3 linked regions of the Struthio camelus genome follow. The protein of the gene in region 3 binds, or shares a complex with, the protein of the main gene of each other region. Links are inferred from orthologs where the notes say so. Each region holds a gene or a part of one and is shown on either strand. Other genes may lie near its edges.

Region 1 (7,850 bases), about 160 Mb from region 3:
CCACCTGGGTCAAGAAGTTATCATCAGTGCTCTGCAGGAACCTCTTTGACTGTGCCTAGCTGTGCTGTCTTCCCAGCAGATGTCAGGGTGGTTGAAGTCTCCCAGGAGAACCAGGGCCTGTGATCGTGAGGCTACTTCCAGCTGTCTGTAGAAGGCCTCATCGATGACTTCCTCCTGGTCAGGTGGCCTGCAGTAAACCCCCACAACAGTGTCACCCATGTTAGCCTGCCCTTTAATCCTTTATCCATAGGCTCTCAACTTGCTCTTCATCCACCCCGAGGCAGAGCTCCATACATTCTAGCTGCTCCCTCACATAAAGGGCAACTCCACCACCTCGCCTTCCTGGCCTGTCTTTCCTAAAAAGCACATAGCCATCCATGACAGCATCCCAGTCATGTGAACTATCCCACCATGTCTCTGTCACTGCAATGAGATCATGGCCCTGCGACCGCACACAGATCTCTAACTCTTCCTGTTTATTCTCCATGCTGCGTGCATTGGTGTACAGGCATTTCAGAGAGCCAGTCAAGCATGCAAGCTTCCCAGGAGAGGTGCAAGAGGATCCTCCATAGCCATGTCCTATGCTGTCTCCCCTGGCTGTATGCACCCGCTGGAGGCATCCTGACTTGAGCAGTGTATTACAGACTCTCCTGCCACTATACCACTCCCCTTCCCCCATCTTGCCTAGATCCGTGTATGGACTTACACTTTTATCACTTGACTGTTTAGATTCTTTAGGGATCATTTGTGAAGAACCTTGTTAAAGCTGTTTTGCATTATCTGCAAATGCAATACATTTAAAATAAAAGCATTCAAAATGAAGCTCTAAAGACAAAATAGTGAAAATTTTATTATGTGTACAAAGTACACTAATCTATTAAAAAATTATATATTTTTATACAGGTTGCTAAAAAGGTTTACTAAGTACAGAAACTGATCAGTAGAAGAAAGAAAACAGGAAAGCCTGAAGAGCACGGATAAAGACAATAAAGAAATGAAAAAAAAAATCCAGCAACAAGTTTAGCGATGAATAATCTGGTAGTATCATTTGATTAATTGTTCCACAACCTTCAAATCAAGGATGCTTGATGATTATGGTGACAGGATGCAACTGCTGCCATACAAGATGGACCAACTCCATCCTGTCTGCTGGGGAGGCTCCATAATACCATAGCCATGACTCTACTGCAAGCAATGGGATCGCATATTCAGCCCTCTCATTCTTTTCTGTTCACTATGTAAATTTGCGCCTTGTGCTATTTATCTGCATAAAGATTCCTTAATCACCATTACATTTTTCACGCATTATGTTTTTAGACAAATGCCCCATCTGTTACAATCCATAATGTTTTCAAAATATGAATACTGATTTATTTATGCTATATTATATATTACAAAGTTCAAAAGAGAGAAGCTTTTGGTACATCTTTCTTGTTGGAAAACATCAATAGTCTGACATTACTCATTTGAGAAGAAATTTTAGTCTTGGTCAGTAAGGAAAAAGGTAATTTATGAAAGGAAATTCATAGTCATTGCTGTTACAATGAATAATACTCTTCTTTCCTAACTTTTTTTCTTGTACAACCAGCAAAGCACAACATCTCTGAATATGTGAAGTACTGTTTTAAGTTGAAAGTGAATCAGGTGTTGTGAGCCAGCACATAAAATAACTTAAGTTGACTGAATTTTTGCATGTTGGAAACATCTGGCTTCAAAAAGATACAATAACAGGGAGCCAGCTTACTAATAAGAATTGTTTATTTTCAAAGTCCTTATCATTGTACTAGAATAGCAGGCTGTCCTAATGTGCAAACATTCTATTTTAAATGAAGATTTCTGCAAGAATAGCCTTTCTTTGGAATATAATATACAAGGGCTGAGAAACAGAGAAAAAATTGCAAGGCTTCTGTTATTTAGTCTATGAGGAAGAAACTGAAGGTTAGGCTAAAAAATTAGCATTTACAAAAACAACAACAACATACAGAAAAAAAAATCATTATTTTAAGATTACATTTAAAACTAGTTTGGTTAAAATTTCTCTACGTTCAGAAGAGAAGTTGGAATTGTACCAGAACATAAGATACAGTATAGAATACAGAAGTTGACAGAAATTAGGAATTCTAATACACTGTTCTTAGTTCATTAGAACTTAATTTAGACTGATATCTGCTTTGCATTTTGGATCTGCTCCTTTGTTCCCATGTTTCCTTTGTTTCCCTAACAAGTAAATCTGCTCATAGAGCTTATTCCACTGGCTCAGTCATTTGTTAGGCATAGTGTCTTGTTGAGTATGTAATGCAGAGCCATAAACTTCGGAACCTCGAAACTTTGAGGTGAAAAAAATCCATCATCTTTACTCAGTGAAGGAATATAAGCAAAAGATGGTTAAAATAGTTCAAATGATTTCACATTGGCCCTGGGCTAGGACCTTACATGGGGAAAGTTGCTTCAGATCAGCTAGAAGATGGTAACTTTTTCTGTGTATACTAATGGATAAAACATAATCGCTTTATACCTTTTCTTAATACAAAAGATGAAGCTTAGTTCTATACCCTTTGTATTTTTCACTCTGCACTGAATGTGCAAGTGCAGAAAAAGTAAGGCAGCTGGTAAAATGTGGATTGTAATGACAACATAGAATGGAGCAGAGTTAAAGCTGCATAGGTAACAGCAAACCTGACACTGTCTCCTTGGGGATTTTTAGTATTTTGTGATGTAGCTAAAGCTAAATGGTATTAATAGGACAAAGAAAAAGGCTCATCTACAGCCCACTGCCTTTCTCACTAGCAATTTAAAAACATACTACAAACAGTGGAGTAAACCATGGAGACATCAAAGATTTTTTTTTTAAATAAAGATTGCAAAAATATTTTAAGATGGAAAACAATCTAAATAGAAGGTTTGATGCCAATTCTTTTTATAAGTCTGTTATTTAATCTGATTTTTGATTGAAGTAGAACTCATCTAAATGAAAGCTTTTACATTTCTTAGGAAATTATATATTAATAAAGAGGTGAGGCATTTTCATGTTTTTGAAAGTTTACAGAATTTAAAATGTATTCCAGCATTAAGTAAACTAGCAACTCATTCATAAATAACTAATAAAAGAATTCCAGTAGTTCAAGTTTCTATACAACTTCTATCCATCATCCGTTCCATGTTTCACTGTACTCAGGCACTGATAAGTCTAGTCTAATTTCTAAGGAAAACAAGATTTATGGGATTGTGTGTGTGTGTGTGTGTGTGTGTGTGTGTGTGTGTGTGCGCGCGCGCACGCCTGTATGTGCCTGTATGAGGCTGCTGGCTAATTTCATTCACATTTCACTGAAGGGTAAAAATCTTGAAGACAGTTAAGTTTCTACAAGTTTCAGGAAGACAAGTGTGCAGCATTGGCTCAGTCCATATTAGACATACACAAAAAAAATACCGTAACTACGGAAAAAAACTTCAGTGGGAGAGCCTGTGTCTAACCAAATGTCCAAGAGACCATGTTATACTTTAAAGCTTTCCAGCAGTTACGAGATTTGTACAAACTCTCTCTAGTGGGCTACCTACTGAAAGGCAATTTACGCTACAGTGGAAGCTCACCCCTTTTCTGTAGCTCCCAAACCCACTAGAAGCTAGGCTTCATTAATTTCACCGTTCATGAAACTACCTATTCATTTGGGGTGGGGGGGAGAAAGGGAGAGAATCTCATGGCATAATTAGCATATTGCTAAATTTATGATGTAACTCTTGAATCTCAGTTTAAACTGGCCAAACACGGGAAATACAATATTAACATGTTCTTAAGGGTGTTAAATGGGTTTCCAGGGTTTCTCACGAGGAGGGGAGACGTGGACTGCTGGCCCTCTCTTCTTCCCATTTAAGAAGTACTGTAACAACATCATGACTATTATTTTGGCTTAGCTCTTTTGCAACTTCTGACAGGAAGTCAAGTGCTTCCTGAAACCATAAACCTCAGTAGGGCTATAGCATTACTGTGACCTTTCTTAAAGCGTCCAAGTGAAGGGGAGGCAGGAAAAGGACATACCAGAAAATGTCTAGCGTTTCTGCCATCTTGATCTATCATCTCACTCCGGTTTCTTTATTTTAAGCGTGCAGCCTCTCCGCCTGACGCTCATCTCGTTTCACCTGCTCTGTTTCACTGACAGCCAGGAAGTTGCTCTTGATTTCGACTGTGGGAAAGGAGAAGCAGGTCTTCGGGTTGTGTGTGTGTGTGTGTGTGTGTGTGTGTGGAAAAAGAAAAGAAAAGAAGAAAAAAAAAAAAAGAAAGAAAACCCAAACCCCCAAAGGCCGTAGCACAGGGGCCGGGCAGCCGGTGCTTTTAGCCTCGAAGACGACGCCAGCCCAGCGAGCTGCCTGGGGCTGCCGGCTCGTACTCCCGCCGCAGGGCCGGGAGCGCCGGAGGTGCTGACGGCGCTCAGGCCCGGGGCGGCGGGTCTCGTCACACCGCGCTACGTGCGCCAAACCTCCGGGCGTTTTGTCCCTTCGCCAACCCCCTCCCCGCGGCGGGGGCGCGGGCGGGCGGCCGTTCTCGTTCCGTTATTTCCCCGCTCCCCTTCCCGCCGCCGGCCGTTGGCCTCCGAGCTCGCGCGCGCGCCCGCCCGCCCGCGGGCTGGTGGGGGCGGGGCAGCGCGTGCAGGTAGCCGGGTAGGAGAGGCGGGGCGGGCGGGCGAGCATTCCCCGCCCCTCCCCCAGGTTTGTCGTCGTGTGGCGGCGGGGCTCCGCGCGCCGTCGCACCAGTAACGGCCGCTCTGCGCGCGCGGCAGGGGGCGGTTGGGGGGGGGGGAGGAGGCGGAGGCCGCCGTCGCCGCCGTTGCATCCGTGACGGGGCCAGAAGAGCCCAGGCTTGGGACAGCCCCTTTCCCACCGCCTAGCCCGCCCGCGCACAGGCGCCGCTCGCACGGGGGAAGGGAGAGAAGAAGAAGGAGGAGGAGGAGGAGGAAGAAGAGCAGCAGCAGTTTGTATGTGTGTGTGTATGATGAGCTCAGCCCCGTCCCCTGGAGGCGCCTGAGGGGACCTGACTCCCCCCACCCCCCGCCCCACTCTCTGTCGCCGCCGCCATGGCTCACTCCCCCGTGCAGACGGGCCTGCCGGGGATGCAGGTGAGCACCAACCGCCGTCCCCTCTGCTGCCGCGGACGTTGGATGGGGGATGGGCGGGTCCCCTCCTTCCCCCCCCCGCCCACCCCAAGGGCAGGCACGGACACGCACCCACGGCGAGCGGTGGGGGAGGGGAGCCAGGGCTTGGTCCTTGTATCCCTTCCCTGTATTGTCTGCCCGGAACCGGCGGGGCTCGGTGGGGTGGGAAAGGAGGGGAGGAATAGTGTGAAAGGGGTGCGGGGTCTGGGGTGAAGGGCGGGCGGGTGTGGTGCCTGGCGGTAAGGGGATGCCCTCAGGCTAGAGGGACAGGGCGAGGGGGAAAAAAATGCCTCTTCACTCTGACTCGGTCTTGAAGAAGGTGGCGAGGGGGGGTTGGCGGGGAGGAGCCGGATCTCGTAACCCCTGGAAACAAAATGTGCTGTCAGCACTTCACATAATGCATAGCAAGGTCTCTCTGCTTAGTGAATCCCTCCCTTTCTCATTGCTTAATAGCCGCTGTTTTGATGGAAGTGTGCTTGGTAACCCCCCCACCGTCCAGTAGTTCTGCCGGGCTGTTTTGATTCATGAAATGAAACTTGTCTTTAGAGACGATTTTCAGTCCCGTTATTTTGACGTGGCTAGGAAAAATATGCTCTCCATACGTAAAAACAGGGCCTGAAAACGTTGACCTTCAACGTGTGCTGCAGTGCCCATCTCGGTAGAACTGGCTAGTGGGGGTGCTGTTTGAGGTGGATGTTTGGAGATTATATTTGGCTTCTGTGTTTGGCTGTAGGAGTTGGTTAGCTGTAGCTGTTATACAGTGGGATTTGCTGTTTTTGTGTTGTAACTGTATTTTTTAAATAACTGATGTGGTTTTCTGGTGACTAAACTGGCTTTTTCCTTGTTTTCTTTTTTTTTTTAGTCCAAATTCAATAACAAAGTACTGCCAGAAGAACCTTAAGGTCTTTGGTGTTTGTGTGTTATTGTAATATTTTCTGTGTATTATTAGACACTTCCCTGTGCACCCCTCCCGCAGCCCCCAAAAGAAATACTTGTGACTGGGACATAGAGTTTTTCTGAAATTATCTTCAAGGTTAAAAGTTTTTGTGCTTCATTTGGTTTCAGTATTGATTTACTTTGGATCATTTTCCCATGAATCAGATTCTAGTTCATGAATCTTACATCCTTGCATAGCCTGAGGATTTGAATTTAAAATGTTATATTTGTGCGTAAATCAAAATAACTACTCTACTTCCCACAAACTGAGGGGAAAATGGACAACTAATAGTTAAGAGTCAGCTTGAAATTGTGTATGTTGCCACCTGCATAATGTATTTTTCCTATTCACATTCTTTGTACTCTGGCTTTGCTTTCCTTCTACCCTGGAGAGTTCTCAGCTTCTTTGTACCCTGCAAAGCTATTCATCTGCAAATATCTTTAAAATCACCCCTTATGTATTGCTTGAAAGATATGGACATTTTTTTAAAGGAGAAATTAAATGGAAAATAAACTATTTAAATGTCCTAAAGTTTGAATCATAGAAGTCATGAGAAAAAAATGTGTTTCTTAAGAAACTTCAGTAGCATGTTGAATGAATGGTTATGTCAATGCTCAGGCATATAGTACTAGATGCCAAATGAGTACATAGGCCCTCACTCTAAGTGTGTATATTTGTCACTCTGTTGAGTGTTCAAGTTCACCTTCCAAATGCAAGCAGTGTGCTCATCTCCAAAGACAGAGAGGTAACAGTTTGTTGCTAACGGTAGGGCTAGATTAATGTTGCATTTTTTTTAATACTTTGAAATATTTTAGAACCAATAACGCTATTTACTTTTTTTTTTTCAAAAAGAGTCATAGTATTTTTGAATTTAAAAAGTTGGATCTGGAGATGCTGGGAAATAAAGAGAGCAAAGTTTATTCCTGCAGTTTGCATGCAGTGCTTATATATGTGATTGCATGATCTCTCAAAAGACCTAGGTTTTCTTGGCTTATTATTTGATTTATTGTTTAATTTGTAGTACTGTTAGCTGTACTAACCGGATAGATATTCCTTTTTTTTGTTGTTAGTCCATATAATTTGGGAGTTTACTTCAGATTTTTTTATTCAATACAGTATTATTTTTCACACAAATTTTTATTGTATTCTTATGAGTGAGTTTCTTGAGTGTTTTTGAACATTAACAACTATGTAAAAAAAAAAAATAAACCCAAAACCTACAGATAAGTAGGTGCATAAAGTTCAAGGTCGGTAGTGTGAAAATTACTTGCTAATTTTCTTGCCCAGTAAAAGATGTCTAGATTTGTTCCCACTTTGCCAGAGTGTATAGCAATTTTATAGTGTTTGGTTTTCAGTACATGATTCTCTTTGACTTTATCTGCAGATGAGTGCTCAAACTGTGTACCGTTAAGTACATATAATTTGTCACAGCTACTTAAATAAAGCAAAGTTTATGGTTTGTGACTTTTCATTATGTAACAGAGAAAGGAACAGAACTCAGTTCTCTGGAGCGTGCTTAAGTTGCCTAAATGACGGGACTGTATTTTCTTCCTGTACTGTGATCCCTTCTCCCCACCAGCAGATTTTGCAACAAATCTTGGAAGTAATGTCAGTGAGAAGTTATACAGCTTTTTCTGGTGTTTATTACTGTCCTTACATAAGAGGGCAATCAAGTGTAAACAAGAGTCAGTTCTTGACACCCCAAAATCCCATGTTGGGACAGTGCCTTGTTATGCTGTTTGATCTGGGCAGAGTAGTGCATAAATAGA
Region 2 (8,124 bases), on a different chromosome or scaffold from region 3:
CGGTCGAGCTGTGCCGGGGGCGGCGGCCCCCCCCCCCCCCAACAAGCCCCCCTCTACAAGCCGGAGCCGGCTGGGTTGAGCTGGAGCCCCCAATCCAGGCCAGAGCAGGCTGAGCCGCCCTGAAGCCCCCCCTTCTCCAAGCCAAATCCAGCCGAGCCGCACTGAGCCCCCCCCTCTCCAATTCGGAGCGGGCTGCGCCGAGCCGGAGCCCCCCCTCTCCGAGTCGGAGCGGGCTGAGCTGGAGCCCCCCCTCTCCGACCCAGAGCAGGACACACCGAGCCTGAGCCCCCCCTCTCCAATCCGGAGCGGGCTGAGCTGGAGCCCCCCCTCTCCGAGCCAGAGTGGGATGCGCTGCGCTGAGCCCCCCCCCTCCAAGCCGGAGCAGGCTGAGCTGGAGCCCCCCCTCTCCGAGCCGGAGCGGGCCGAGCTGCACTGAGCCCCCCTCTCTCCGAGCCAGAGCGGGCCGACCTGGAGCCCCGCCCCCCCCCTTCGAGCCAGGTTGAGCTGGAGCCCCCCCCCTCCGAGCCAGAGCGGGCTGAGCCAGACCCCCCCTCTCCGAGCTGGAGCAAGTTGCACTAAGCCCCCCCTTCTCCGAGCCGGAGTGGGCCGAGCTGGAGCCCCCCCTTCTCCGAGCCGGAGCGGGACACACCGAGCCCGAGCCCCCCCTCTCTGAGCCGGAGCGGGCTGAGCCAGACCCCCCCTCTCTGAGCGGGAGCGGGCCGAGCTGGAGCCCCCCCTCTCCGAGCCGGAGCGGGACACACTGAGCCCGAGCCCCCCCTCTCTGAGCCGGAGCGGGCTGAGCCAGACCCCCCCTCTCTGAGCTGGAGCGGGCCGAGCTGGAGCCCCCCCTCTCCGAGCCGGAGCGGGACACACCGAGCCCGAGCCCCCCCTCTCTGAGCCGGAGCGGGCTGAGCCAGACCCCCCCTCTCTGAGCCGGAGCGGGCTGAGCTGGAGCCCCCCCTCTCCGAGCCAGAGCGGGCTGAGCCAGACCCCCCCTCTCCGAGCTGGAGCAAGTTGCACTGAGCCCCCCCTTCTCCGAGCCGGAGCCCCCCTCTCCGAGCCGGAGCCCCCTTCTCCGAGCCGGAGCGGGCTGTGCCAGAGCCCCCCTCTCCGAGCCGGGTTGAGCCGGAGCCCCCCCCCCGAGCCAGAGCGGGCTGTGCCGTGCCGGAGCCCCCCCCTCACCTCTGAATCTGCTCCTCGATGCGCCTGACGAGCGGCGAGTCTCCGCCGCGGAGCGCCGGCTCGGAGCCGTCGGCGGCTCCGCTGACGCCCGCGGAGCAGCGGCCGAGCAGGGAGCGCACGCGCTTGGAGCGCATGTCCAGGACGGTGTCGGTGTAACCCACCTCCTCCAGGTACCTGCGGCGGCGGAGCTGAGAACGGGCAGCTCGGGACAGCCCGGGGCAAGCCCCCCCCCCCTCAAATATCACCCCCCCGATTTCCCGGCACTCACTGCCGCAGGAGCTGCCGTCCTTCCTTCCAGGCCGAGGGGCTGCCGTCCGGCGCCGCCGCTTCCGCCGGGCCGTTGGCGGCTGGGAAAGAAGAGGACGGAGCGAGGGGAGGGCGACGGGGGGGGTCAGCGCGCCGGAGAAGTGGGGGGGGGGGGGGGGGGGACGAGGCTCCGCCGGCTCCCTCACCCGGCTCCGCCGCCTCCGGCCTCTTCTCGCCCGGGTTGAGGTCGGTGCCGAATTTCAGCTTGTGATATTTAGACCTGGGGGGATTTAAGGAAAAAAGGGAGGGGGTTAAAAAGAAAAAATAAAACACACGCGTGCGGCACAACCGGGATTTTCCGCGTCTTCCCCTTCGGGCCGAGGCTGCGCCGGAGCCGCCTCCGCGCCGCCCTCTCCTACCTTTCCTGCTTCAGGGCGTATTCCAGCATTTTTATCCGCCGCACCAGGTCCGTCTTGAGGTTTTCCTGGCCTTTGCGCTCGCCCTGCAGAAAGGCCACCTGCGCCTGGCGGGAGGCGAGGCCGCGCTGAGCGGGGCCGGTGGTGCGGCGCCGGTGGTGCGGCGCTGGTCGTCCCCCCCCCCGACCCCGCGTTCCCGGGAAAAACAAAAAAGACGGGAAAAAGAGGGAGCTGCCGGAGGCGTCGGGCTGCGGGAAGGAGGAGCGGAGAGGAGGCGGCCGCCGCGAAGGTTGCAGCGCTGCCGGCGGTACCCGGAGCGCTGCCGGTGGTACTGGGAGCGATGCCGGTGGCGTGGGCAGCGGTGGTACCAGGAACGGCGCCGACGGTATCAGGACTGCTGGCACCGGAGTGATGCCGATGGTACCGGGAGTGATGGTACCAGGACTGCTGGCACCGGAGTGATGCCGATGGTACCGGGAGTGATGGTACCAGGACTGCTGGCACCGGAGTGATGCCGATGGTACCTTAAGCGCCAGCATCAGAGCGATGCCGATGGCACCAGGAGCGATGGTACCAGGAACGGTGCCGATGGTACCAGGACTGCTGGCACCAGAGCAATGCCGATGGTACCGGGAGCGCCGGCATCAGAGGGATGCTGATGGCACTGGGAGCGATGGTACCAGGAATGGTGGGCACTGGGAGCGATGGTACCAGGAATGGTGCCGATGGTACCAGGACTGCTGACACCGGAGCGATGCCGATGGTACTGCAGGCACCAGCATCAGAGCGATGCTGATGGTACCGAGAGTGACGGCACCAGGAACGGTGCCGATGGTACCAGGACTGCTGGCACCAGTGACGCCGATGGTACCAAGAGCGATGGTACCGGGAATGCCAGCATCAGAATAACGCCGATGGTACCAGCAGCGATGGTACCAGGAATGCTGACACCAACAGCAATGCTGATGGTACCAGGAGTGCTGGCACCAGAGCGATGGCACCGGGAACTGTGCCGATGGTGCCAGGACTGCTGGCACCGGAGCAATGCCGATGGTACCGGGAACGACGGTACCAGAAACGGTACTGGTGGTACCAGGACTGCCGACACCAGAGCAATGCCGATGGTACCGGGAGCGCCAGCATCGGAGCGATGCCAACAGCACTGGCAGTGGTGGTACCACGAATAGTTCCGATGGTACCAGAGCGACGCCAATGGTACTGCGAACGGCGGTATCGGGAACGCCAGCATCGGAGCGATGCCAACGGCACTGGCAGCGGTGGTACCAGGAATAGTGCCAATGGTACCGGAGCGATGCCGATGGTACCGGGAACGGCGGTACCAGGAACACCAGCATCGGAGTGATGCTAACGGCACTGGTAGCGATGGTACCAGGACTGCCGGTACCAGAGCGATGCCGATGGTACCGAGAGTGCTGGCACCGGGAACGGTGCCGACGGTACCGGGAGCACCATCGGGGCGCAGGGGAACAGCCGGTGCTCCGGCATGGGGCAGCTACCTCCAATATTGGGGGGGGGGGCCCTGATAGCAGGGGACCCCGTTACCGGGGTGGGGGTGGGGTCTCCGTTACCATGGTGCCTGTTATCGGAGTGGGGGGGGGCACCCTGTACCCCATTACCGGGGCAGGGGGGTCCCCAATACCGGCACACAAAGGCAGCGGGTCCCCCCCAGACCCTGGGGCCTCCCAGTAACATGCCCCCCCCCCCGCAGCCACACAGCCGGTTCCCAGTGCCCCCTCCCCACCGGTGTCGGTTCCTGGTTCACCCCCAACCCACCCAGTACCGGCTCCCGGTGCCCCCTGGTCCGCTCCCCCCCCCCGGTGCTGGTTCCCCCCCCCCTTCCAGTTCCCCCCCCCAACTGGTTCCCTCCTGGTGCCGATTCCCAGTTCCCTCCCCCCCCTCCGGTTCCTGGTCCCAGTTCTCCCCCTGCCCCGGTGCCCAGTTCCGCCCCGGTCCCGGTTCCCCACCCCCAGTTCCGTCCTGGTACTGGTTCCCTCCCGGTTGCCCCCCGGTGCCCGGTTCCCGGTTCCTCCTCCGTTCCGGTTCCCGGTCCCGGTTCTTCCACGGGGCCCGGTTCCCCCTCGGTCCCGGTTCTCCACCCCCAGTACCGGTTCCCTCCCAGTACCGGTTCCCCCTGGGTGCCCGGTCCCGGTTCCCCACCCCCAGTTCTCCCCCGGTACCGGTTCCCCCCCGGTGCCCGGTCCCGGTTCCCCACCCCCAATTCCCCCCCGGTCCCGGTTCCCCCCCCGGTGCCCGGTCCCGGTTCCCCACCCCCAGTTCCCCCCCAGTCCCGGTTCTCCCCCGGTCCCGGTTCCCGTTCCCCCCGGTGCCTGGTTCCCCCCCGGTGCCCGGTCCCGGTTCCCCACCCCCAGTTCCCCCCGGTTCCGGTTCCCCCCGGTGCCCGGTTCCCCCCGGTCCCGGTTCCCCACCCCCAGTTCCCCCCCGGTCCCGGTTCCCCACCCCCAGTTCCCCCCCGGTGCCGGTTCCTCCTGGGTGCCCGGTCCCGGTTCCCCAGCCCCAGTTCCCCCCCGGTTCCGGTTCCCCCCGGTGCCCGGTTCCCCCCGGTGCCCGGTTCCCCACCCCCAGTTCCCCCCCGGTACCGGTTCCCCACCCCCAATTCCCCCCCGGTTCCGGTTCCCCCCGGTGCCCGGTTCCCCCCGGTCCCGGTTCCCCACCCCCAGTTCCCCCCCGGTGCCGGTTCCCGGTCCCGGTTCCCCCCGGTGCCCGGTCCCCCCCCCATCCCGGTGCCGGCTGCCGGTCCCGCCCCCGGCATGGCTCCGGGCGGCCATTTCCTCCCAAGATGGCGGCGGCGGCAGCAGCAGCGGCGGCTCCGGTACCCCCGCCCCCCCCCCAGCTCCCCCGGTACCGGCGCCGCTACCTGCAGCTCGGCCCGCTCGGCCTCCCAGCGGCTCTTCTCGGCCTCGAAGCGGGCCCACTCGTGCTGGATGAAGTGCAGGATGCCGGGCAGGCTCAGCTCGGCGGCGGCGGCGGCGGGGGGGGGCGGCGGCGGCTCGGGGGGGGGCGGCTGGGCCCGCGCCGCCGCCCGCTCGGCCTCCATCATGGCTCCCGCCCGCTGCCACAAAGGGAGCCGCTGCCCGGGGCCGCCCGCCGCCGCTTCCTGCCACAAAGGGAGCCGCCGCCGGAAGTGACGTCGAGAGGCGCGCGCGGGGAGGGGAGGGGAGGGGGGAGGCGGCGGCGGCTGGCGCGGGGGGGGGGTGGTTGAGGGCCGGTTGCCGGGGCAACGGCGCCCCGTGGTACGGGCGGTGCGGGGGCTATGGGGGGCTATGGGGGGGTATGGGGGGGTATGGGGGGTATAGGGGGTACGGGGGGTATAGGGGGTACGGGGGGTATGGGGGGGTATAGGGGGTACGGGGGGTATGGGGGGTATAGGGGGTACGGGGGGGCGCGGCGGGGTATGGCGGTCACCGGGGTACGGGGCGGTGCGGGGGCTATGGGGGGCTATAGGGGCCACGGGGGGGTATGGGGGTATAGGGGGTACGGGGGGTATAGGGGGATATAGGGGGTACGGGGGGGCGCGGCGGGGTATGGCGGTCACCGGGGTACGGGGCAGTGCGGGGGCTATGGGGGGCTATAGGGGCCACGGGGGGGTATGGGGGCTATAGGGGGTATAGGGGATATGGGGGATATAGGGGGTACGGGGGGTATAGGGGGGTATAGGGGGTACGGGGGGGCGCGGCGGGGTATGGCAATCACCGGGGTACGGGGCAGTGCGGGGGCTATGGGGGGCTATAGGGGCCACGGGGGGGTATGGGGGCTATAGGAGCCACGGGGGGGTGTGGGGGTATAGGGGGTACGGGGGGTATGGGGGATATAGGGAGTACGGGGGGGCGCGGCGGGGTATGGCGGTCACCGGGGTACGGGGCGGTGTGGGGGCTATGGGGGGGCTGTGGGAGCCACTGGGGGGTATGGGGGATATAGGGGGTACGGGGGGGTATGGGGGGATATAGGGGGTACGGGGGGGTATAGGGGGATATAGGGGGTACGGGGGGGGCACAGCAGGGTATGGCGGTCACCGGGGTACGGGGCGGTGCGGGGGCTATGGGGGGCTATAGGGGCCACGGGGGGTATAGGGGGACATAGGGGGTACAGGGGACTATAGGGGGATATAGGGGGTACAGGGGGGCACAGGGGATGTGGCGGGGTATGGCAGTCACTGGGGTATGGGGTGGTGCGGGGGCTATGGGGGGGTTATAGGGGCACAGGGGGGGTATAGGGGGCTATAGGGGGTACGGGGGGCTATAGGGGGTACGGGGGCCGTGGGGGAAGCGGCAGGGTATGGCGGTCACTGGGGTACGGGGTGGTGCGGAAGCTATGGGGGGACTACAGGGGCCACAGGGGGGTATAGGGGGGCCACAGGGGGGTATAGGGGGGGTACAGGGGGTACGGGGGGGCGCAGGGGACGCAGTGAGGTATGGTGGTCACCAGGGTACAGGGTGGTGGGGGGGCTGTGGGGGCCACAGGGAGGGTATAGGGGGCTATAGGGGGGTATGGGGGGCTATAGGGGGGTATAGCGGGTACGGGGGGCCATAGGGGCTATAGGGGGGTACGGGGGGCGCGGGGGACACAGCGGGGTATGGCGGTCACTGGGGTACGGGGCAGTGCAGGGGCTATGGGGGGGCTATAGGGGCTATAGGGGGTACGGGGGGGCACGGGGGACGCGGCAGGGTATGGCAGTCACCGGGGTACGGGACGGTGCAGGGGCTATGGGGGGGCTATAGGGGGTATGGAGGGTTCGGGGACGCGGCAGGGTATGGTGGTCACCGGGGTATGGGGTGGTGTGGGGGCTATGGGGGGGCTCTAGGGGTATGGGGAGCTATAGGGGGCTATGGGGGCTATAGGTGGTATGAGGGGCTATAGGGAGCTATGAGGGGTACGGGTGGTAGGGGGGTGCTATAGGAGGTATGGGGAGGTATAGGGGGCTATGGGGGAAGAGAGACACGGGGGGGATTTGGTGATCACCAGGGCACGGGGCGGTGTGGGGGCTATAGGGAGGTACGGGGTGGCGGGGCTGTACGGGGGTCTATAGGGGTGTGCAGGGTCACGGAGGAGCGGGGGGGTAAAAGGGTGTGCGCACGTGTAGACAGGTGTGTACAGCGGCACGCGGAGGAATACAGGCGCGCCTGGGCCGATGGATGTGTCCAGCGGTACGTGGAGCGATGCAGGTGCGGGTGTATTGGTGAGTACACCTGCACGTGGAGGTATACAGGTGCGTACGCGGCTGTATAGGGCTGTACACCGGCACACGGAGGTAGACAGGTGTGCATGCAACCATATAGCTGTCTATACTGGTACAGGGAGGTCTACAGGCATGCACACAGGCGTATAGGGGTATACACCAGCCAGTACGTGGAGATATACAGGTGGGCGCACGGTCGTAGGGCTGTGTACACTGGCACGTGGAGGGGTACAGGCATGCACACAGGTGTATAGGGGTGTACACTGGCACATGGAGGTATAGAGCTGTGCGCACAGGTGTATAGGGGTGTACACCAGCACATGGAGGTATACAAGCGTGCACACAGGGGTGTAGGGGTGTACGCTGGTACATGAGAGATACAGGCATGCGCATGGGTGTATAGGGGTGTACAGTGGTACGGGGAGACGTACAGGCGTGCGCAGGGTCATATAGCTGTATGCACTGGTAATGTGGAGGTATACAAGCGTTCGTATGGGTATATAGCTATGTACACTGGTACATGGAGGTGTACAAGCGTTTGCATGGGTGTATAGGTGTGTACAGTGGTACACGGAGGTATACAGGCACGCGCACAGTCGTATGGGGTGCACACTCATAGAGAGACATACAGGTACGTGCATGTGTTTGGCTGTGTACACACGTACACTTAAAGGGCTCGAGCATTGCTATCGCTTGGTACGGTGTTGCTAGGGATGGGGTTGCTGTGGCAACAACACCCTTCCCCTCCCGTCGCCGTGGCCATTCGTGTCCCAACGCCGCGAAGCCTCAGCTGGGAGCGCTGCTGCCTCTGAGGCACCTGCGGGCCCCTAACAAGGAGGGGGTCGCTAACGAGGGGGGGTCGCTAACGAGGGGGGGGGTCCGGGCCCTGCCCCTCCCCTCCCTGACGCTCCTTTTCCCTCCTCACAGCGCTGCTACGGTGGGGGAGGCCGCTGAGACCGCCCCGCTCGCCGCACGTGTGACAACACCATCACAGGTGCAGGCTGCTGAGACCGCCCAACTCGCTACACGTGTGGCACAGGCATCGTGGCCGGAGGCTGCTGAGAC
Region 3 (7,679 bases):
GGTTCACCAGCCCCGGGCAGCACCCAGCGGCCGGGGCAGGCCATTACCCTGTGCCAGGTAGAGCACGGCCCGGGCCACTCGCAGCCGCTTGTCCCTGTTGACCACCTCCAGCCCGTCGAGCAGGCGCATCACGTAGGCCTTCTGCTGCGCCACCTCCAGCTCTGGCCATCGCTTGCCCTGCACTGGAAAGGCGAGGCGACAACCAGCCGGGGCCCCACGGTGCGGGTCCCTCCCGGGGCTGCGCTCCCAGGCTTGGGCAGCTACCTTGAGCATGGAAGTCCTCTTCGAAGCACCTGCGGTTGGTGACGAACTCCGGCTCCTCGGTGTAGCTGTACAGCTCTGATGGGGAAAGGAGGTCAGCAGCGACTGGGAGACGTTTCACCCTCCTCCTCACTGCCAAATTGCTCACCGGGCTCTTCAACAGCCCTGCTCGCCCGAGGAGACACGAGCCTTAAGCCAAACACGTATGCTGGAGCTCTTCCCCAGGTCCACCAGACACGGCGGCATCCGGAGGTTGCTACTAAACTCAGCTTAATTCTCATCCTGATTTCACGGAGGGGGAAGGGAGGCAGAGGACCCGCGGGTCTCCCGGCTCACACCATCTGCCCCGGAGAGGACACAGATATCCTGATCTGTATGGCACTGAAATCAATTCAAATCAAAATAGGATCCATAGCTCTTGCTAAGTTATAAGGAAAAGCTCTAGTGCTATCGCTCTGAAACTCGCTGCAGCTTTAGCTGATTTTCTCGTCCCTTTTTCCCTTCCGTTTCTTTTTCTGGCCTTTCACCACTTCCAGGCAGGTCTGGAAGGGGACCTCACCCTGGTCCTGGCTGCCAGCACAGATATTTGCACTGCATTTGCTACGCTTTTGTAGGGTTTTTGTGTGTGGGGGGGGGGGGAGTGATTTTTGGTCACTATTAAGTCAATTTGCAACAGCAGGGACCACAGGAGCAGCCAGCCGAAACCTGCCCTGATTTCAGGCCGACGGGTTTGAGTGTTTCAGGGAGAAGCGGCTTTGGGCCGGATGCTCCCGGGATGCAGTGTAGATGCGCGTGCCGGGTGGAAAGGGAGATGCTTGCCAACCTGCGCTATCCAGCACGGCACGTGGCTGTTCCTCCAGCCAGCTGCATGGCCTTCATTTTTTCCCAGATCATTTTTGACCCCAGAATATTGTAGCCTTTAGTTGGCTGGAGAAGAGGACAACATGCTTTTTTTTTGTTCAGCAGGTTTCTAGGCAAGGCTGCGACTTGGTGTCACAGAAGTGCAAAACTGAGTCGCGGTAGGAAGGTACCTCGAGACCGTCTAGTCCAACCCCTTTGTGAACAGGACCCAGGACCGCGTCCAGTCGGGCTTTAGGTACCTCCAAGGATGGAGGCTCCACAACCCGCCTGGGCAGCCTGCCCCAGCGTTCGACCGCCCGCGCGGTAAACGGCGCCAACGCTGCCTGGGGGCAGATCAAGCCAGGAAAAAAATATAAAATAAAACCGACCTCTGCCCTTCTTGGACACCAGCCCTATCAACGTAGGCCTAAGCCTACTCAAGAGCCATCTCCTGTCCAGCTCGCCCTCTTCCGCACGGGATTTCTTGCCCCGGCAGGCACCCAGGCGTAGCCGAGCAGCGCGGAGACGCGGCCGAGCGCCCCGGCCTCCGCTGCGGCCCCTTTCTGTACCTGATAGCTCCACGGCGAAGCCGTCAGCGTCTCCGTACCCAAACTCCAGGTTGGGGCAGTCCACCGAGCCCTGCGGAGAGCATCCTCGGTTAGCGGCCGAGGCGGGGAGAGGGGCGAAACGCCGTGGCGCTGCCTATCCCGCAGGCTGTTGCGGGGTGTCCGTGGCTCGGAGAGGCACGACACTGCCCCGGGGGGCCACGCGACCGCTCCCGGGCCGTCGGGGGCGATCGGGGCGGTCCGCGGGGAGCCCACACCCTCCACGTCGAGCTCATGCATAGACGATGGTCGTTACCACCACGGGTCTCCAGGGCCCGCTCGGACTGTTCAAAATACAGCGCGAATTGGGAAAGAACACATGAAAAGCAGCCACATCAGCAGCGTGGGAAAGCCGCGGCAGGACCCAAACGGCCGGTGACCGTTTGCTGCTTGCAGCGTCCCCGGGCGGGTTTCCCCGGGACGGTTTGACGCCTCTGCACCCGCCGCCCGTGGCGTCACCCCGTCCCTTCGCTTGTCCGCGCGGCTCCGTTTCAGCCCACAGGCAAGGAAATCCCTTTGGCCGCAAACGCGCCCCGGCCCCGTGGGAACGCGGCGCTCCCAGCGAGTAACTGGAGCGCGAAGCTCTTCCGCTGGATCGGGGCGGAGACGGGCCGAGCGCGCCGCGGGCGGCCGGAGGAAACACGCCAATGAATAACGCGGTAAATTAGGTTAATTTGCCGTTCGGAGCCCCCGAATCCCGTTTCGGCAGCCAGGCTGGACCGGCGCAAATGGTCGTTACTAGCGGTCACGGCAGCTGGGGACGCGCAGCTCCGGCCCGGAGGGGCTCAGCCCTCTCCCCTCCGCCTCCGGATCAAGCCTAAAACCAGGGACGTCCGAAAACTCAACGTTTCCCCCAGTTTGTCCTTAACCCCGATGCTTTGAGGTGGCCGCAGAGGCATTTTACACCCTCTGCGCGCAGCCGCTTCTTGCCCGCGGCACCAAGGCAGCCGGGATTTCGGGAGCCGCCGTGCCCGGCTCCCCAGCGCTCAGCGGCGAAACGCAAACAGTTACTCTAAAGCATGACGGAGGAGGGTGGAAAGCGCGTTTTGTTGGCATTGCCGCTTTGCACCGAGGCTCGAAGCACTCGCGGTGTTCGCCCCTGATGCCGGCTCCTCACGCGGGATGGGGCCGGACGCGAGCCCGCCGTAGGCAGGGGAGACCCCTCCGAAGGCCGGGAACTCGCACCTCCGCGGCGCGGGAAGGCTGGACTCGGCCGCCCGCCCGACGGCACCGCTGTCACAGCAGCGGGGCAGCGGCGGGAGGAGAAACCACCCAGCGGGAACCACGTCGCGACGCCTCCGCTCCCGCGCTGCGGGCGGGCGACAGCCTCCCCGAGGCGGCGCGGACGCTCCCGGCTGCGAAAAGGGATATTTGCGCCTGCCGCCCCGTCGGGGCCGGCGCCCGCTCCTCTGCGAGGAAACGGGTCAGGGAAAGGATCCGGCAGAAAACCCACCTTCCCCGCGCCTCTACCCCAAACCCAGCCAAACCCGCGGACCTGCGGGCGAAAGGGGGCACCGGCCCCGCCGGGCTCCCCCGCGCCCCGACGGCGGCCCGGCCCAAGCGCCGTCCGGGCTTCCTCGTTGTCCCCCCCCCTTACCCCTGCCCGGCCCCCCCCGCCCCAGACGGGCCGCCCGCCCGCAGCAGCGGCCACCCCCGCCCTTACCTCGGACTCCTTCCGCTGGCTCCTGAAGAGCTCCCGGCCCTTGGGCTGGGGCTGGGGGGGCCGCGGGGCCGGGGCCGGGGCCGCGCCGCCGCCCGCCGCCTCCATGCGCTGCGCCCCTCTGCAGCGCCGCCGAGCACGTGGGGGGCCGAGCCTCCCCGCGCCCCGCCCCCGGCCCGCCCCCGCCGCTCCCATTGGTCCGCCGCCTCCCGGGGGCGGGGCCGCTGGACACACCCCCCACGCCGCCATTGGGCCGCGCCTCGGAGGGGGCGGGGACACGGGTGTGTGTGTGGGGGGGTGTCCTTCGGGTGCAGGGCTGCAAGGGGGGGGGTTCGGGGCACCGCGGGTTTGGGGGGGGGAGACGGGGGGGGAGACGGGGGGGGTTCGGGGCACCGCGGGTTTGGGGGGGGAGACGGGGGGGTTCAGGGCACCCTGGGTTGGGGGGGGTTCCGGGGGGGGACAGAGACGGGGGGGGTTAGGGGCATCCCGGGTCTGGGGGGGGGGGAGACGTGGGGGGAGACGGGGGGGAGGTTCGGGGCACCGCGGGTTGGGGGGGGTGTTTCCGGGGGGGGGAGACGGGGGGGGCTTCGGGGCACCGCGGGTCTGGGGGGGTGTTTCCGGGGGGGGGGGCAGAGACGGGGGGGGTTCGGGGCACCGCGGGTTGGGGGGGGCGGAGACGGGGGGGGTTCGGGGCACCGCGGGTCTGGGGGGGTCCCGGGGGGGGCAGAGACGGGGGGGGTTCGGGGCACCGCGGGTCTGGGGGGGTCCCGGGGGGGGGCAGAGACGGGGGGGTTCGGGGCACCCCGGGTCTGGGGGGGTCCCGGGGGGGGCAGAGACGGGGGGGGTTCGGGGCACCGCGGGTCTGGGGGGGTCCCGGGGGGGGCAGAGACGGGGGGGGGTTCGGGGCACCGCGGGTTGGGGGGGGCGGAGACGGGGGGGGTTCGGGGCACCGCGGGTCTGGGGGGTGTTTCCGGGGGGGGCAGAGACGTGGGGGGTTCGGGGCACCGCGGGTCTGGGGGGGTCCCGGGGGGGCAGAGACGGGGGGGGGTTCGGGGCACCGCGGGTCTGGGGGGGTCCCGGGGGGGGGCAGAGACGGGGGGGGTTCGGGGCACCCCGGGTCTGGGGGGGTCCCGGGGGGGGCAGAGACGGGGGGGGTTCGGGGCACCGCGGGTCTGGGGGGGTCCCGGGGGGGGCAGAGACGGGGGGGGTTCGGGGCACCGCGGGTCTGGGGGGGTCCCGGGGGGGGCAGAGACGGGGGGGTTCGGGGCACCGCGGGTCTGGGGGGGTCCCGGGGGGGGCAGAGACGCCTTTGGGCAGCGCGCCCCGGTCGCTGTCCCCGCCAGGGCGCCGCCAGCCCCCTCCGAGGCGCCGGGGGCCTCTCAGCCTTCGCCTTTATCCCCTAAGGCGGCAGCGCCGAGGCAGGATGCGTCCGGCGGCGGGGAAAGGCCGGGGTGGCGCTGGCGACCGTCGCAGCAAAAGCAACAGCTTTTCCCAGCCACGATTCAGCCCGGTTTCACCAAGGGCAGCGCAGGAGCAGGAGCGAAACAGCTGCCCGTAACCCCAGCCAGCGGCCTCCGCTTGCCCCCGGCCCCGGGGGCGGCGGAAGGAGCCACCAGGACGCTGGAAAGCCGCCCGCTTTTGCCCAGGGGCCCCCGCAGGTTTCTGCCCCCCCCCCCGCTTTTTTTTTTAAAAAACCCGGGCAGGTTGCGCCTCCCTTCTGGGCAAAGCCGGCGGCCGCAGCGCCGGCCTCGGCCCCCGCCGCCAAGCACGCGCCGCAGACACTCGCCTTTCCGATGTTTTATTTGCGTTTTGAGATTACAGAGTCTTTATTGCTGATCTAATACAATCACTCATACATTAATAGTTAAAACATCCTTTTGAAAATGTTATGGTTCCAAAGTTTTAATTTCCTTATGGCAGGGTTTTTTTTTTTTTTTTTTTTGGACAGGTTTTGTCCTACGGTTGCTAAAGTTCAGAACAGAATTATTTTCCTTATACAATTTTTGCTGGTGTTACCTAAACCTCCTTTTCCTAATTCTTTAAAAATGTGTTACATTAAAAAAAAAAAAAAAGAAAGAAAGAAAAAGCCATTACACGTTTAATTTAGAGATGATCACAGAATAGGATTCCAGATTGATTAGGAAAAGCCAAGCAAGCGAAAAAGCGGAACGACATGGAGAAAAGCTTTAAAAAAATCGAGATTTGGGACGATTTTTTTTTTCCCCCCTTCTATTTACCCGGAGGATAAAGTGGGCTTAAAAAATCGGCACGAACGAATTCACGGATGAGGACAGCACCACCATATGCTCCACTAGCGACAGACACAGGGGAGGGAAGCGACTGGTCTGAGCTGTAGCGAAGGGTCACACGGATGGATAGCGCTTTTCCTGGGGCAGATCCCGCTGCGTCCCTGAGCCCCTTTGCCAAGGGCTGCCTCGCTCAGCGCGACCCCGCACCTGCGTTCCCTATCTGACTCGAGACATCAAAGACAGGCCGACGTCGCCGCCTTCATCGCACGGAAAGCGGAGGGAAAGCTGCCGGCGGCCCTGCGTCGGGCCGTCGGCTGCCGCCGTCCTGCCGCCCCCGAGGGGAACGGGAAGCGTCGCCCCGCCGGGATCCCACCCGGCCCTGCTGCAGCAGGAACCGGAGCAGGTCTCGGAGCGGGACCAGACCCTGGGCGTCCTTCACGCGCCTGTCCCTAGTGCAGGCGCCCCTTCTTTGCGGGCTGCTGCGGGCAACGGCTGGGCTTCGCTCCTGGACCAGGACCCGGCGTCGCTGGCCAGGCTGGGGAGGTCCCAGGAAGCACAGGGATAACCGGAGCCGGCCTCAGCACAGAGAGAGCAGAAGGACCAAGCGCTTGGTCAACAGGCAGGGTCACAGGCCGGTGGCAACCTCAAGGGATAAAGAGCGGGCTGAGGTATCGGATACGCGTTTCTCTTTCCGAGCCCGTTCCAGGAAAGGGCAGTGCTCCCGCGAGGCGGCACGTTCCCCAGGTCCCGGCTGCTGGCTCTGCTCTGACGAGGCTGGCGCGCAGATGAAAACCTCCGCTGCGAACCTCCTCTCTCCCTTTACCCCTTCCACGTGTGCAGTCAACACGTCCGAGACCTCGAAACTACATGGGTGGAGAAGTTCCCGGGGCTTCACCCAGAACGGGAAAAGCCCACTCGGGCAGCACAGCCTTCGCGTGAAATCCCAGCTCCGGAGAGACCAAGGGGATGTCTGTGAATGACTTCACCGAGAGCAGGATTTCACACCACAAACCTACAAATAACAAAAGAAACTCGGTTTGTTGGCTGTTGCAGACTAGGCTATTCCAGGGTGAGAAAACAGGTCCAAACTTGAAGTTTACAATAGTTCAGTGGACTCTTCCCAAAAATCTCACGATCCGAATAAAATTCACGAGTGAGTGAAGATTATTTAGAGCTTGTGGTTAACGATCACTCTCTGATGCATCCCTTACTTTTCTAGTTAAGCTAGTTGAGAAGTTGCAAACTCTTCAAAGAGAAAATTGGAATAGAAAGCACACTAGAAAACTTGCTCCGAAGACAAGCGGACTCTGGACAAGCTGACTTCAGATCTCGTCATCAAGACTCGGTGGCGGAGGCCGTAACTCCACAGTTTGTCCTTTCTTGTGCGTGAACAAGCTGCCACAAAAAAATTCCCCTTCTCATGATGCCAAAGGAGTCGGAGAGGACAAAACAAGACTCTCGCGTGGCGACAGTACTCGGGTACTGACGCAGCGACCACAGGTGACGTCCACGTGCTCAGGTCTCCAGCACAGGGGCGCTAAGAGCTACCTAAACTACTCCGGCGCTTTTTAAGAAGGACCACGTTCTCCGCGTGAGCCGTAGAAGTGATTCTGACGAGACACTGAGACTTCACAAGTTCCCCCGAGAGGCGTGCTATGCTGTTTGCAGCGTTCGGGCAGGACATCTTGGGCTAAAACAAGTCACTACGACAACTCTGTTCTCTGACAGCTCTGACTTAATCCATCAAGACTTGACATGATTGAGGCGATGCTGAACTCTGCTTGTGATCCTGATCGCTGCACCCAAACCAGGGGTGGTGAGCGTTCGGGGGTACGTCTTGTACAGTCCAAGGGGAATTCCAGATTTGATTAGGTTATAAACAAGTATTACCAGAAAATAAAACTCCAAGAGCTCCCGTGAGAAGCTGGGAAATGTTTCCGTTACCACAGGTGTCTTTCTACGGAACGAGGCATTGATTCAACGAGGACTGAAACTCAGCTCGGCAAAGACCTCGTGTTAACGTTGGCCTTCGAAAGTGGTCAGCGCCGCTGTCTCCTTCGGCGG

The links.
Region 1: STRIP2 (region 3) and STK24 share a complex: the UniProt entries of both Homo sapiens proteins name them as parts of the core of STRIPAK complex. The link is inferred for Struthio camelus from reciprocal best matches to the Homo sapiens genes STRIP2 and STK24.
Region 2: STRIP2 (region 3) and STRN4 share a complex: the UniProt entries of both Homo sapiens proteins name them as parts of the core of STRIPAK complex. The link is inferred for Struthio camelus from reciprocal best matches to the Homo sapiens genes STRIP2 and STRN4.

Annotation. Positions count from the first base shown.
Region 1 is NC_090942.1:164,904,738-164,912,587, forward strand, and holds the start of STK24 (serine/threonine-protein kinase 24), read left to right. Parts: upstream 1-4,774; 5' UTR 4,775-5,066; coding exon 5,067-5,108; intron 5,109-7,850. UniProt on the Homo sapiens protein: Serine/threonine-protein kinase that acts on both serine and threonine residues and promotes apoptosis in response to stress stimuli and caspase activation.
Region 2 is NC_090957.1:1,875,173-1,883,296, forward strand, and holds the start of STRN4 (striatin-4), read right to left. Parts: upstream 3,460-8,124; 5' UTR 2,384-3,459; coding exon 1,848-2,383; intron 1,709-1,847; coding exon 1,635-1,708; intron 1,530-1,634; coding exon 1,451-1,529; intron 1,357-1,450; coding exon 1,183-1,356; intron 1-1,182. UniProt on the Homo sapiens protein: Calmodulin-binding scaffolding protein which is the center of the striatin-interacting phosphatase and kinase (STRIPAK) complexes.
Region 3 is NC_090942.1:1,695,601-1,703,279, reverse strand, and holds the start of STRIP2 (striatin-interacting protein 2), read right to left. Parts: upstream 3,493-7,679; 5' UTR 3,475-3,492; coding exon 3,370-3,474; intron 1,741-3,369; coding exon 1,671-1,740; intron 427-1,670; coding exon 265-426; intron 183-264; coding exon 48-182; intron 1-47. UniProt on the Homo sapiens protein: Plays a role in the regulation of cell morphology and cytoskeletal organization. Required in the control of cell shape. Calmodulin-binding scaffolding protein which is the center of the striatin-interacting phosphatase and kinase (STRIPAK) complexes.